Coturnix japonica: one gene and its partner. The protein of the gene in region 1 interacts with the protein of each later gene in a biochemical or structural test. Links are inferred from orthologs where the notes say so. Each region holds a gene or a part of one and is shown on either strand. Other genes may lie near its edges.

The links.
Region 2: the proteins of SRC (region 1) and ASAP1 form a complex in vitro, tested with the Homo sapiens proteins (2 studies listed by BioGRID and IntAct). The link is inferred for Coturnix japonica from reciprocal best matches to the Homo sapiens genes SRC and ASAP1.

What each region holds. Positions count from the first base shown.
Region 1 is NC_029535.1:4,437,711-4,443,404, reverse strand, and holds the start of SRC (proto-oncogene tyrosine-protein kinase Src), read right to left. Parts: upstream 3,418-5,694; 5' UTR 3,154-3,417; intron 1-3,153. UniProt on the Homo sapiens protein: Non-receptor protein tyrosine kinase which is activated following engagement of many different classes of cellular receptors including immune response receptors, integrins and other adhesion receptors, receptor protein tyrosine kinases, G protein-coupled receptors as well as cytokine receptors.
Region 2 is NC_029517.1:126,741,465-126,746,565, reverse strand, and holds part of ASAP1 (arf-GAP with SH3 domain, ANK repeat and PH domain-containing protein 1), read left to right. Parts: intron 1-2,843; coding exon 2,844-2,966; intron 2,967-4,923; coding exon 4,924-4,998; 3' UTR 4,999-5,101. UniProt on the Homo sapiens protein: Possesses phosphatidylinositol 4,5-bisphosphate-dependent GTPase-activating protein activity for ARF1 (ADP ribosylation factor 1) and ARF5 and a lesser activity towards ARF6.

The DNA.
Region 1 (5,694 bases):
AGTCACTGACACAGGATGAGCTGCAGATACACTGACCCTCCAGCTCCCAGCGATGGCCCCACACCTGGTCCCAGTGCTCTGAGCCTGTCCACCCTGTGAGCTTCCAATGCAGCCCTCCACCCTGCCCCATGTGCTGGCCACCACCAGTGGGATTCGGGCCATCCCCATCCCATCCACCCCCAGCACAGCACAGCCTGCACTCACCCCATCCCACAGACAGCAGCTCAGCATTCCCACCCATGAGGACACAACCCCACGCCGGGGTGGCAGTGCAGCTCCCCAGGGCTGCAGTGCTCCCTTATCTTGCAGTGGCTGCTGCCAGGGGAAGGAAAGAGCCCAGCTGAACAGGGAGGGACTCCAAGAGCTGCTGCCACTGTGCTTTTTTTCCATATTGCAGAAGTTCTCCAGCTCACGGTTCCGCCCTGGGAACATCCAGACCCACGAGGTGCTGCAGCACCACGGTGCCATTTGGGACTGGGAAACTGCAGCCAGGACCAGGCACAGTGTGGGAGTGGGGACCCTGTGTGCAAGGATGGCGTGTGGCAGCGGGCACAGCCCAGTGCTGTGAGCCCACTGTGCCCAATGACACTGGGCTTTGGAATGGAGAAAGGCTGAGGGGTGAGACTGTGTTATCTCCGGGTGCTGCAGTTCCCCATTTTCCTCTCCAAACCCTTCACCAACGCAGACCTCAAGACAGGACCCCTCACGTTACACTGTGGGTATTCCAGCTCCTCCACACCTCTGCACAGCACAGCCATCCTGGGGCTGGGAGCAGCCCCCCATAAGGTCTGAAGCAAAGCCACCAGCCAGACCCCAGCTTCCCCAGAGCTTCTCCTCCCTGTATCCCCACTATTGCTTTCATCCCCTCCACATCTCCAGCACTGCTTTGCCCCCCCCGGCAGCTCCCAGTGCATCCCAAGCATTCCCAGCTCTGTGCCCAGGAGGGCAGTGAGGAGATCCGTAGCCTGGAGGGAAGTCAGAGCAAGACGCAGATTTACAGGTCCTGGTTCCTGGCCCACGTTCAAACCACATGAAATCTGTTTCAAGGCTTTCTTTTCAGCCTGTGCATGTGCAGAGGCATGTGCAAAGCAGTGCCACTTCCCTCACACCAAGGTCACAGCACCAGAGCAGGGCTGCACTGAGCATATGGCCCACACCAACCAGCTCCTTTTTCCCCTGGCCAAGCAGACTGCAGAGCAGACTATCACACAGCATCACACTCCAGGGAGCTGACCCACACTGCTCACCCTGCATCCACACTTCCGAGAGGGCTTTGAGCTCAGAAGCTCTGAGGAAGTGAGGTCAGCTGGGAAATGGTTCCCAGAGATAAAGGGCCAAGTTAGAAACCGTGCTGCAGGACGGATGGTACAGGAAGCAATAGTGCTGCAGATAGCCCTTGGTGCTTCCCCTGCCATGCCTGGGGTGGTGCGGGGCAGCAGTGATGCACGGCTGTGCTTCCCCTTAGGCACGTGGACTGAGTGCTCCAGCCCAGGGCTTGCTGCAACCCCTTCTCCATCCAGACGTGGCACGTGCTCACTGGTCATTAAAACATGTCATTGTGAGCCAGCCCGGAGCCCATGTCCCCTCTGTGCCACCAGTTTGTTCCTTGTGTATGCAGCAGAGCCTTCACACATCAGACTCTGCAAATTACGGCCCCTTCCCTCGCTGTGCTGGGACAGACAGACCCACCTGGGTGATCTTGAGTCACTCCAGGACAATGTCATTCAAAAGCAGAGGTATCTGTAGGGCATCTCCATCACACAGGGAGCACTGCAAGGCCACTGACAATCTTAACAGCGAGCACTGCACATCCCTCTGCTGTGATGGCCCATAAGCAACCCCAGCTCCAAAATCACCGGGCTGTATTTTGGGGAAGCTCCTGAGCACGAGGTGCTCAGATAAGATCCAAAGCTAAGAAGATAAGGTCAAAGCTTGGGAATGGGTGCAGCCCACAGCCTGCTAAGGAGAGGTGCAGTGGGATCACAGACAGGCTCACAGTGGCACAGTGCTCCCCAGGGAGCCTCATCTCAGACACTGAGCAGCAGAGGTTTGTCCATGGGCCAACCATTGAGCCAGCACGAAGCAGCACAAACAAGCAGCAGCAGCAGGGGATCATCCTGCAGAAGAGTGCAGGGGAACAACAGCATCACACTGCTCCCAAGCACAAGGTCACCGGCATCCCACCACATGCCCCATCACATCCCTGGGGACAGGGGTGAGCACCAGCACGGAAGGAGGAAAAACACCAAACTGAGTCTTTTGTTGCCACATTCCCACAGCTCCGTTTACATCCGATGCTGTTGGATCAGTGCTGTCCCATTCCCAGCACTCAGGCACTGAGCACCCTACGGGCTCCAAACACCACTGAGTGGGGGAACATCACCCACGGGAGCTGCTCCCTGTACCCTCAGAGCTCCCGGGCAGCAGAGAGAAGGGACGGTCAAGAGGAAACCAAACTGCCGTGGGGCTGAGCCGGGGACCGAGCGCACTGCATGGGGTCACGGTCAGCAGGGGAAAGTCCACCCAGGCCCCGGCGTGGTTCAGACAAGTCCCACGGTGCTTCCTCGCGGCGGAGACACGCACAGCAGCCGGGCTGCTCCGGGAGAACCTGCCGGCCGGGTACAGCCCTTCCCCGGGCAGCGCGGGGCTCTGCAGCCTCCCCGGGCGAGGGCAGAGCGAACGCCCGGCGGAGCGCGGACACGAGCCCCGAATCACCGACGAGCGAATATCGAGAGGGAAACGGAGCAGGAGACATCAAAGCAGGGGGGCGATGAATATTTCATGCCCCGGCCTGCACACAGCCCGGCTCTCCCTGCTCTGCTCTCCCAGTGTTTCCCGCAGCCCCCGATCACAACAAAGGGGAGTGCGGGCAGGCGGGGCCGGACCCCGCAGCTCCCCCCTCCGCTCCCCCGGCGGGCCCGTCCCCATCCCCCGGCAGCCCCGCAGCCGGCCCCGGGACCCCGCGCACTCTCCGCCGGACCCACGGCCGCCCCACGCAACCCGGAGCCGCCCCGCCGTTACCGCGGGCATTACGGAGCCGCCCCGCTGCCACCCGGGCATCCTCCACCGCACGGCGAGCATCTCCCGCCGGCCCCGCAGCCGGACCCCGCGGGGACCATCCCCGCCGCCGGACCCCGCGCAGCCCCCGCTCACCTCCCGCGTGTGCGCCCCGCGAGGCCGGACCCCGCCGCTCCCCTCCAGGGCTCGGCCGCGGCTTTGTCTCCGTGCCGGGGGCGCGGCCGCCGCCCCCCGCAGCCGCCGCCGCCGCTCTGGGTGCCCGCACCGCGGGCCGGGCCGTGCCGGACGCTCAGGGCTGCGCCGCCGGCAGCATCGCGCAGCACCGCGGATCCGGAGCGCCGCTTCCCCGCCCCCGATCACCCCTTGTACGGGGTGTGTGTGTGTGTGTGTGTGTGTGTGTGTGTGTAAGGGGGGAACAGCCCACAGGGAGGGAAAAAAAACTAGGAATATGGCAGCAGTAAACCGGAAACGGCTTATAGGAAAAAAAAAAAAAAAAAGAAAAGAAAAATCGCCGAGCCCCTCCCCTCGGGTTTTTTTTTTTTTTCTTTTAAGGAAGAAGCCTCCGGGCTGCCGGGCTCGGCGGGGTGCGGAGCAGCGACCGGAGCCGCCCCCGCCCGCGGCTCTACCGACGCACCCCGTCCCGGAGCCGCCCGGTCGCGGCGGGGCCACGCGTGGGAGCGCGGCGCGGTTCTGAGCTCGGCTCCGAGCTGCCCGCCCGGGATCGGCGAGAGGAGAGCGGTGATTTGCACTGAGGTTACAACCCGGCTGCTTTGCGGTTCGCTTTTATTATAGCGACCGGGGCACGCAGCGAACAGCCGCTTTGTGATGGATTCTGCGCCCTCCTGCATCCTCGTCCCCATCCCCCTGATCTCGGGGAGGAGGCAAAACTTCAGCGCAGGGGAATAAACAGGGAAAGAAGAGCGTGCCGTGAGCCTCCCCGTGGAGCCACGAGCGTGGACGTCGTGCCCACCCCTCGTGCTGCCCCTCACAGCGACCAGAGCGGGGGCTTCTGGAAACTCCAGCGCTTCAGAATCAGTGCGGAGGGTGACTGAGTTTGTTTGCAGTGCGCACCCCTCCCCCGGCTCATTTGAGTTATTAAAAAAATATTTCCCGTGACACTGCCGAGGGCCAACAAACCCATGAGTCACCGGGAGTCATGCACACACCGAGCCGTCCCCACCGGCCAGCGCATCGCACGGGGGGGCCTTCCTGCCAGGAGCAGCCTGATCATCGCTCCCTGCATGAATTGGAGGCTGCGGCCCCAGACTGCAGCCTGGTGTCCGTGGAAAGTCCTTTCGGTGTTGTTAATTCTACAGGGCATAGCAGGGCATGGATGGATGCTGCACCCACAGCGGCTGCCCCAGCCCCACAGCCCCGCAGCCTCCTGCAGGCAGCACAGCCCCGGGCACCGGGCTCGGCCCCAGCCCCGAGGTGCTGCTGCACGGGCTGAGCCCAGACCCACATTGAAAATGGCCACCAGACACTCCTGGCATCCAGCCTCTCCTCTTTGGGGCTCTGGCTCAGCAACGTGCCCTCGCAGCACCCTGGCAGGGGCCCTCCCGGCTCACGGCTCAGCTCTGTGCCCGAGGCGCGTTCACCTGCAGCCCTCCAGCTGCCCTCTCCTCCTGCCCCACTCCCAGCCCTGCTCTTCTCACCATCCCACCCATGCTCTTTGTGAGGCATTCCACTCCCTTCCCTGAAACCTCTTTCTTCTTTCTCTTCACCTTTCAGTAGCACCAAAAACACACGGTGGGGGGGCAGGGCAGAGAGGGATGCAGAGGCTGAAACTAGAAGTGAAAGGCAGGTGCTTTCCAATTCCAAGTCACTCTCACTGAGTACTTCTCCTGGCTCACCCATGTGGGCACATCTCGATTTCTCGTTACAAATGCACAGCTACTTTTGTGCTCTTTTTTGTTGACCTTCAAGCAATTTCATCAGGAAAAATCAGAACAGCTGCCCATGGCTTCCCCCTTCAGGCATGCTGCACACAGACGGTGTGTTGCAATGCCTGGTGACACCGGTGCTGCTGCGTTTCTCCCCACAGAGCCCTGAGGCTCAGCCCCACAGCTGTGTAGTGCTGGGGAGCCCCCAGTGCCCCATGAAACTTAAAGTGGTTGGTTTGGAAGGGAAATAAAGATCGTTGAGCTCCAACTCCTGCCCTGGGCTGGCTGCCCCCACTGGATCAGGCTGCCCAGGGCTCAGCCAGCCCAGCCTTGGCCATGTCCATGCAATGGGCACCCATGACTTCTCTGGACAAACCATTCAGACCTGTTTATGAGCCCCATCCAACCGCTCCGTGGGGCCCCTAAAATCTCTCTGCAAAGTGAGAGGGGCCCTTTGAGGTCCAATGCTCGGTCGGTCCTGACCTCCTCAGCCCAGCTGTGGATTTATAACAAAACAGCCATTCATCTCTGGCCAGCTTTATTTTTAAGCATCCCTTTGGCGAGCGTGCATTAAGTCTTGTTCCACAGATTCTGTTCCTGAGGTGAGCTGCGCTTTGCTCGCTGCAAATTCCAACTATATTTGTAGGAATTATTACTATGAATAACACAGTGGTGGTGTTTGAGTCGCAGACAGATGCAGCAGAGCCTTTGCTCTGATCTTTTCAGGAACTCAAGCAGCTTTTTGCCATCCCCACCTGGAGCCATTGAAGCGTGCAGCCAGGAGCTGGACTCA
Region 2 (5,101 bases), on another chromosome or scaffold:
GCCTATGCAAAGCACTTATGTGAAAGGAAATGTGACTTCCGTTCTGGTAATGAAAGCAGAGGATGAGTTTCTCCTTTCTTGTGCCTGTCTGAGAAAGAACACTTTCTGCAGAGCCATTTTTCTGCTTCTGTGATTGACTCCTTTGCATGTTCATATTGGAACCCAGAATGAGAGTTGTTGTTGAATTTCCTGATTGTTGTAGAGATTAGGTGAAAGAAAGCTCGAAGATCAAAAGGTGTCTTCAACTACGATTTTTTTATGTACTCATTATGTAATATAAGGAAGCAGATGACACTGGGCTTTCTCATCTATTGCTCCCTTCTAATAGACTGAAAGAGAGCAAACAGTGGATTTGATTTTTTGGATATTGTGTTTAAACTCTTCCCCTGTTTTGTGCAGAAAAATCACAAGCAAAAAGTCAGTGTTCTCCAAACTGAGCCATTTTCATATATGCAGTAAATTAAATAATTTCACTGTTTGGAAGTGATCAAAATGATGATGTATCCATGATAATTACTGCAAATTTCTATGTATCACTGTGTGCATGCTGGTTTGCTGCAGTTTTCTCAAGCAGCAATGTGCAGGTGTTCATCTTCAACGTGTTGTGTTTGTGCTTTCAGTCTGTTTCTGTGTCCTCTCAGCACAAACCGTGTGATGAAATGCTGCGTCACAGTGCATGAAGTGCTGTGACAGCAGCCAGCACTGCTTATGGGAATGCAGGCTTGATTTTGATAGCCACTAAAATAAAAAGGCAAAAATTGACATAAATTCCTGCACTGGAATTTGTAGAATATATATATGTTATATATACATACATACACACACACACTAGTGGTACATAAGGATGTTTTTGAAGAAATGAATCCTATTCTGAGAGCTTGTGAAATATCACTGAACACCTGATTGGTTCATTTGTGTGTATGTGTTCTATAAAGGAGGTAAGATACTTCTTTTTAAACAGTGATTGAGCATAGACATGGAGAAATTGTTTAATGACCGCAGCTGATGATTGTTTGGTCGCACTATCGAATAGGTACTAATATTTGGATGCAGAATTGTGAGGGTTTTTTTTTTTTTGTTATTGCTTCTGTGAGTTTGTTTATAGTACCAAATGAGGTGTCCTGTATTTGCTTTCATTTTACTTTTAATGCACCAGCATCCCAGCTTCTATTCTGGTCAACCTTGTACTTCCTTCAGCCCCATCTGTCTGTGAATGTTCTCAGGGTTAATACCAGCCCAGGCTTGAGTTCTCCTTTCTCATAGGCAGTTGTTTCCCTTTGTCGCTGGAGCATTGATTGGAAGTTCTTTTCCTTTGTAAAGCTTCTCTGGAATTGAAAGCAGGGACTGGTTCCAAACATCCATATTAATATTGCATTCCAGTCCCTTGTGATAGTTGAGATTTTTTGTTCACATTATCTGAATTTGTTTTAAAAAAAAAAAAAAAAAGCATTCTTTGAAGTAACTTCTTGCTGCAGTAAATCCTTGCTGGGGAAAAAAAAAAAGAGAGAAAGAAGTCCTTTGATCTCATACAAATTTCACCTAAGGTATTTCTGTTTGTCTCAATAGCACATTTTCCTGATCTTATGCTGTGTTAACTGCATGGCCCCTTATGTATAGAATTGTTATTTTTCTATAACTTGACTTTAATGGGAGTTCTCCTTGCTGTGTGCCTGCTCTGCTGCTGAGCTGGAGGTGCTTTGCTGCCAGAACGTGGAGGTGTTTCAGATGGGAAGGTAACAGCAAAGAGAAGACTCCGTAGGAAATTTCCTCTGTTGAGTTTCTTTTGGCACAAATCCCTCTAAACCTGCTGACTGTTCCTTCATACCCTCCTGCTTCTCATCTCCTTCTGCTCCTCTTGTTTGTGTTCTTGTTATCTGTCTACCTCTGTTCAAAGAGGAACTGTAGGTTTTGAAGAAGCACCCATTATAAAAATACAGGAATATGAAGCAGCAGTGCATTTCTGTGAGTATAAAGTAGCAGCATATTTCTGTTAGCGCTGCTTACTTACTCTGTTTGGAAATAATTTAAAGCGGTTTTCCTGCCATGAGAAACATATGTTCGGGGAGGAGTCCATGGCTCAGGCTTTCTTACATGAGCTAGTAGTGTGCAGCAAAATATGACCTAGAAAACACTTGGATGCAGAATAGCGGAGTTGTGAGAATGTTGTGATGGCAATTCATAATAAATAATGTTGTGCCACCTGAAGTTAAAAATTAGTAAGAAATTGCTAACACTCAGGACTGAAAGCCATTCAGAAAGTAATTTCCTGATACAGTCCTAAAAACACATCTGAAATCAAAGAATTCTGTATTTTCCTGCTAGATCCCCAAATTGCAAGGAACGCTGCGATTTAAATGCAGCATTTTCCTCAGCCTTTACCTCTCTTTTGATGCTGAAATGAGATTGGATTTCAGTTTGTTCCCATGGCGGTGCTGTTTGGGGTATTTCTGTTGAGGTTCAGTGTTTGTTCGGCTTTTCTTTCTTTTTTGTTTAATCATGTATGATGGGAGAACGAAGGCGGGTGGTGCTGGATTGGAGTAATGTAAAGGCATTGTTTAGGCTTTGATGAAGGAGGTGTAAGAAACTTAAGCAGTGTGCTGAGTGTTAAAATTTCTTGTGAATTCTGAAACTTTAAAAAAAAGAGAAATAGACTCATACAGATCTTTTCTTCCTTTCCTTCTTGTTTTTTAATACTTGGATTTTTTTAATTTTATGCCTTGATTGAAGAGAAGGAAATTGGGTGGTCTTCGCGGTTTTGTAAAATAGAATGAGGGGGCAGAATTCATGTGATGTGTTTCCTGTCTCCCTCGTGTCTTCCATCTAAAACTTTGCTGTATTTTCAGGGAAAGAACAAGGTTAGGCGAGTGAAGACAATTTATGACTGCCAGGCAGATAATGATGATGAGCTCACCTTTGTTGAAGGAGAAGTAATTATTGTAACTGGGGAAGAGGACCAAGAGTGGTGGGTATGTATCCTTTCCTTTTAGAGTTCCACGTCACTTCTTTATGGCTCTTAAAGGAAAACCTTTTTGTTGTTTTGGGTTTTTTTTTACCAATTTTTTTTGTTGTTGTTGTTGTTTTTGTTCTTATTTATTCAGGGGAGGGGAAGAGTTTGTTTGAACCAATATCCAGCATTTAAATTAATACTAGAGGAGACACCCTTAGTAGGGTCTTCCTCTCCTGAGGAGTCTGCTAGCCCCATCCTGGCTGGGCTTGGCTTCACTGCTGGATCACAGTAACACATCTGTATTTATGTTCAGGCAGTAATGCACGCTGGCTTTCCATCAAATAAAGAGATGGTGTCATATCATCACTCCGTTTAGCATGCTTATATACTTTCTATGAAAAATGAGTTGTGTAATTATCTTCAGTCCTGCAGAAACATTAAGTTTTAACTGTAGAGGCTGCTGGGAGTCTGAAAAACTTTGTAATTAGCGCCATAAGCTGCTGATTTTCTTCCCTAAGTAAGAGGTAGTTAATCAACATTTTCGTCCCTCCTGTGGCGTAGTTTTGTTTCATAACCAGCCCTTCTCTAGACTGCATATTGTCTTTGGTTCTTTTAGTGCTAACCTCAGGCTTTCTCAGCCCTGCTTGGAGGCTCCAGCTCTCTCCTGACAGTCTGCCTGCTGCCTCCTACCTCATACTTCCTACCTAAGAGCTATTACTTTGGAAAAATAGACAGATTGAATTCAGATTGCAGTAAGAATTTGTTTTAATCCACTGCTGCCTACCATTTCCTAACCTAAGTGCAATGCAGCCCTTACTACTGTGGTCCCAGCTACACGGTTTCCTTCCATTCATCAGCGGGACATTTAAGTGCGGAAAAGCTTTGGCTGAAAAGATGGTATCAGAAGGGCAGTGTGAAGCGAAAAGCTGCTGTATTAGCAACATCATCCAATCCTTGATTATACTGTCACTAGTTGCCGAATCTGTTTGTGAAGTACCCAGGGATTTAAAAAAGCCACGTGCCTGACAGATTCCAGTCTGAGCGCTCCAGTTTGAGCGTTTCTGTGAAGGGAAATGAGGGCCATTGACTCATTTGCTTAAAAAATTTGGCTCTGCAAGAGGAAATGGCCAGCCCTGCACGCTTCCCCTTCCCGTTTTGTTAGCTCATGGCAGAGGAAGGAGGTACGTTGTTCTGAAAGTGGTGAGCAGCACTGTGGCAGGACATGAGTGGACAATCAAGACTACTAGTCTAGTGCTGTTTCTTGGACAGTTGTCGATGATAAGGCTTTTTAAACATGAGAAGTTCATATAGAAAGTGTGATTTTTGTTAGAGATCGCTTGGATATTTCCTTATAAATGATTATTATGTGAAACGCTTAGGAAATGGTATGTGGAGGATTCTTAATCAAACAGCGCTGTTATTTGCTACAAGCACTGGTATACGCATAAATCATTAGAAGTCACAGGAACTGATTGAGGAGGATAGCTGGGCCTGCATCACTTCAAGTGAAATCTCTATAGGATTTCTCCCATCCAGCCATGCAGTTTATCAAAAGGAACTTCACAACCGTAAGCGGACACGTGAGATGTTTAGGATTTACACAGTTAACTAAGATGAATGGTTTTGAGAGAGGTGTGACCTGTTACTGCAAGTCAGTCCATGGATGAAAGAAAGTCAGGCTTCTGTTGTTGGAAGATTCATGTAGTGCACTGGTGTGCATTGCCTCTGTAGGTCTCTAAATTCAACTGCAGCTGCTTTGTTCTCCTTAGATGCAGTTCCTTTGTCTCATAAATAAATTTGTATTTTGTTCCCTTACACAAACTCAGATGTTAACCCAGGATGCTGGGTTAAACTGTCAAAAAACTTGCAGAGTTCCCAAAGCACCTGTGTAGTTCTGCAGGTTTTGATTAGAGTTAATGCTATCTGTGAATGTTCTGTGCATGTACTGACACCTATTTATTTCTCCTGTGTTGCAGATCGGACACATTGAAGGACATCCAGAGAGGAAAGGGGTCTTTCCAGTGTCCTTTGTACACATTCTGTCAGACTAGTAAAAACAAAAAATCCCCAAACTTGAGCATTGCACATTCTTCATGCAAGACGGGCTTTTTAGCAAAAGCGAACGCTGCTGCCTCCCTGTAATCCTGTGCACAA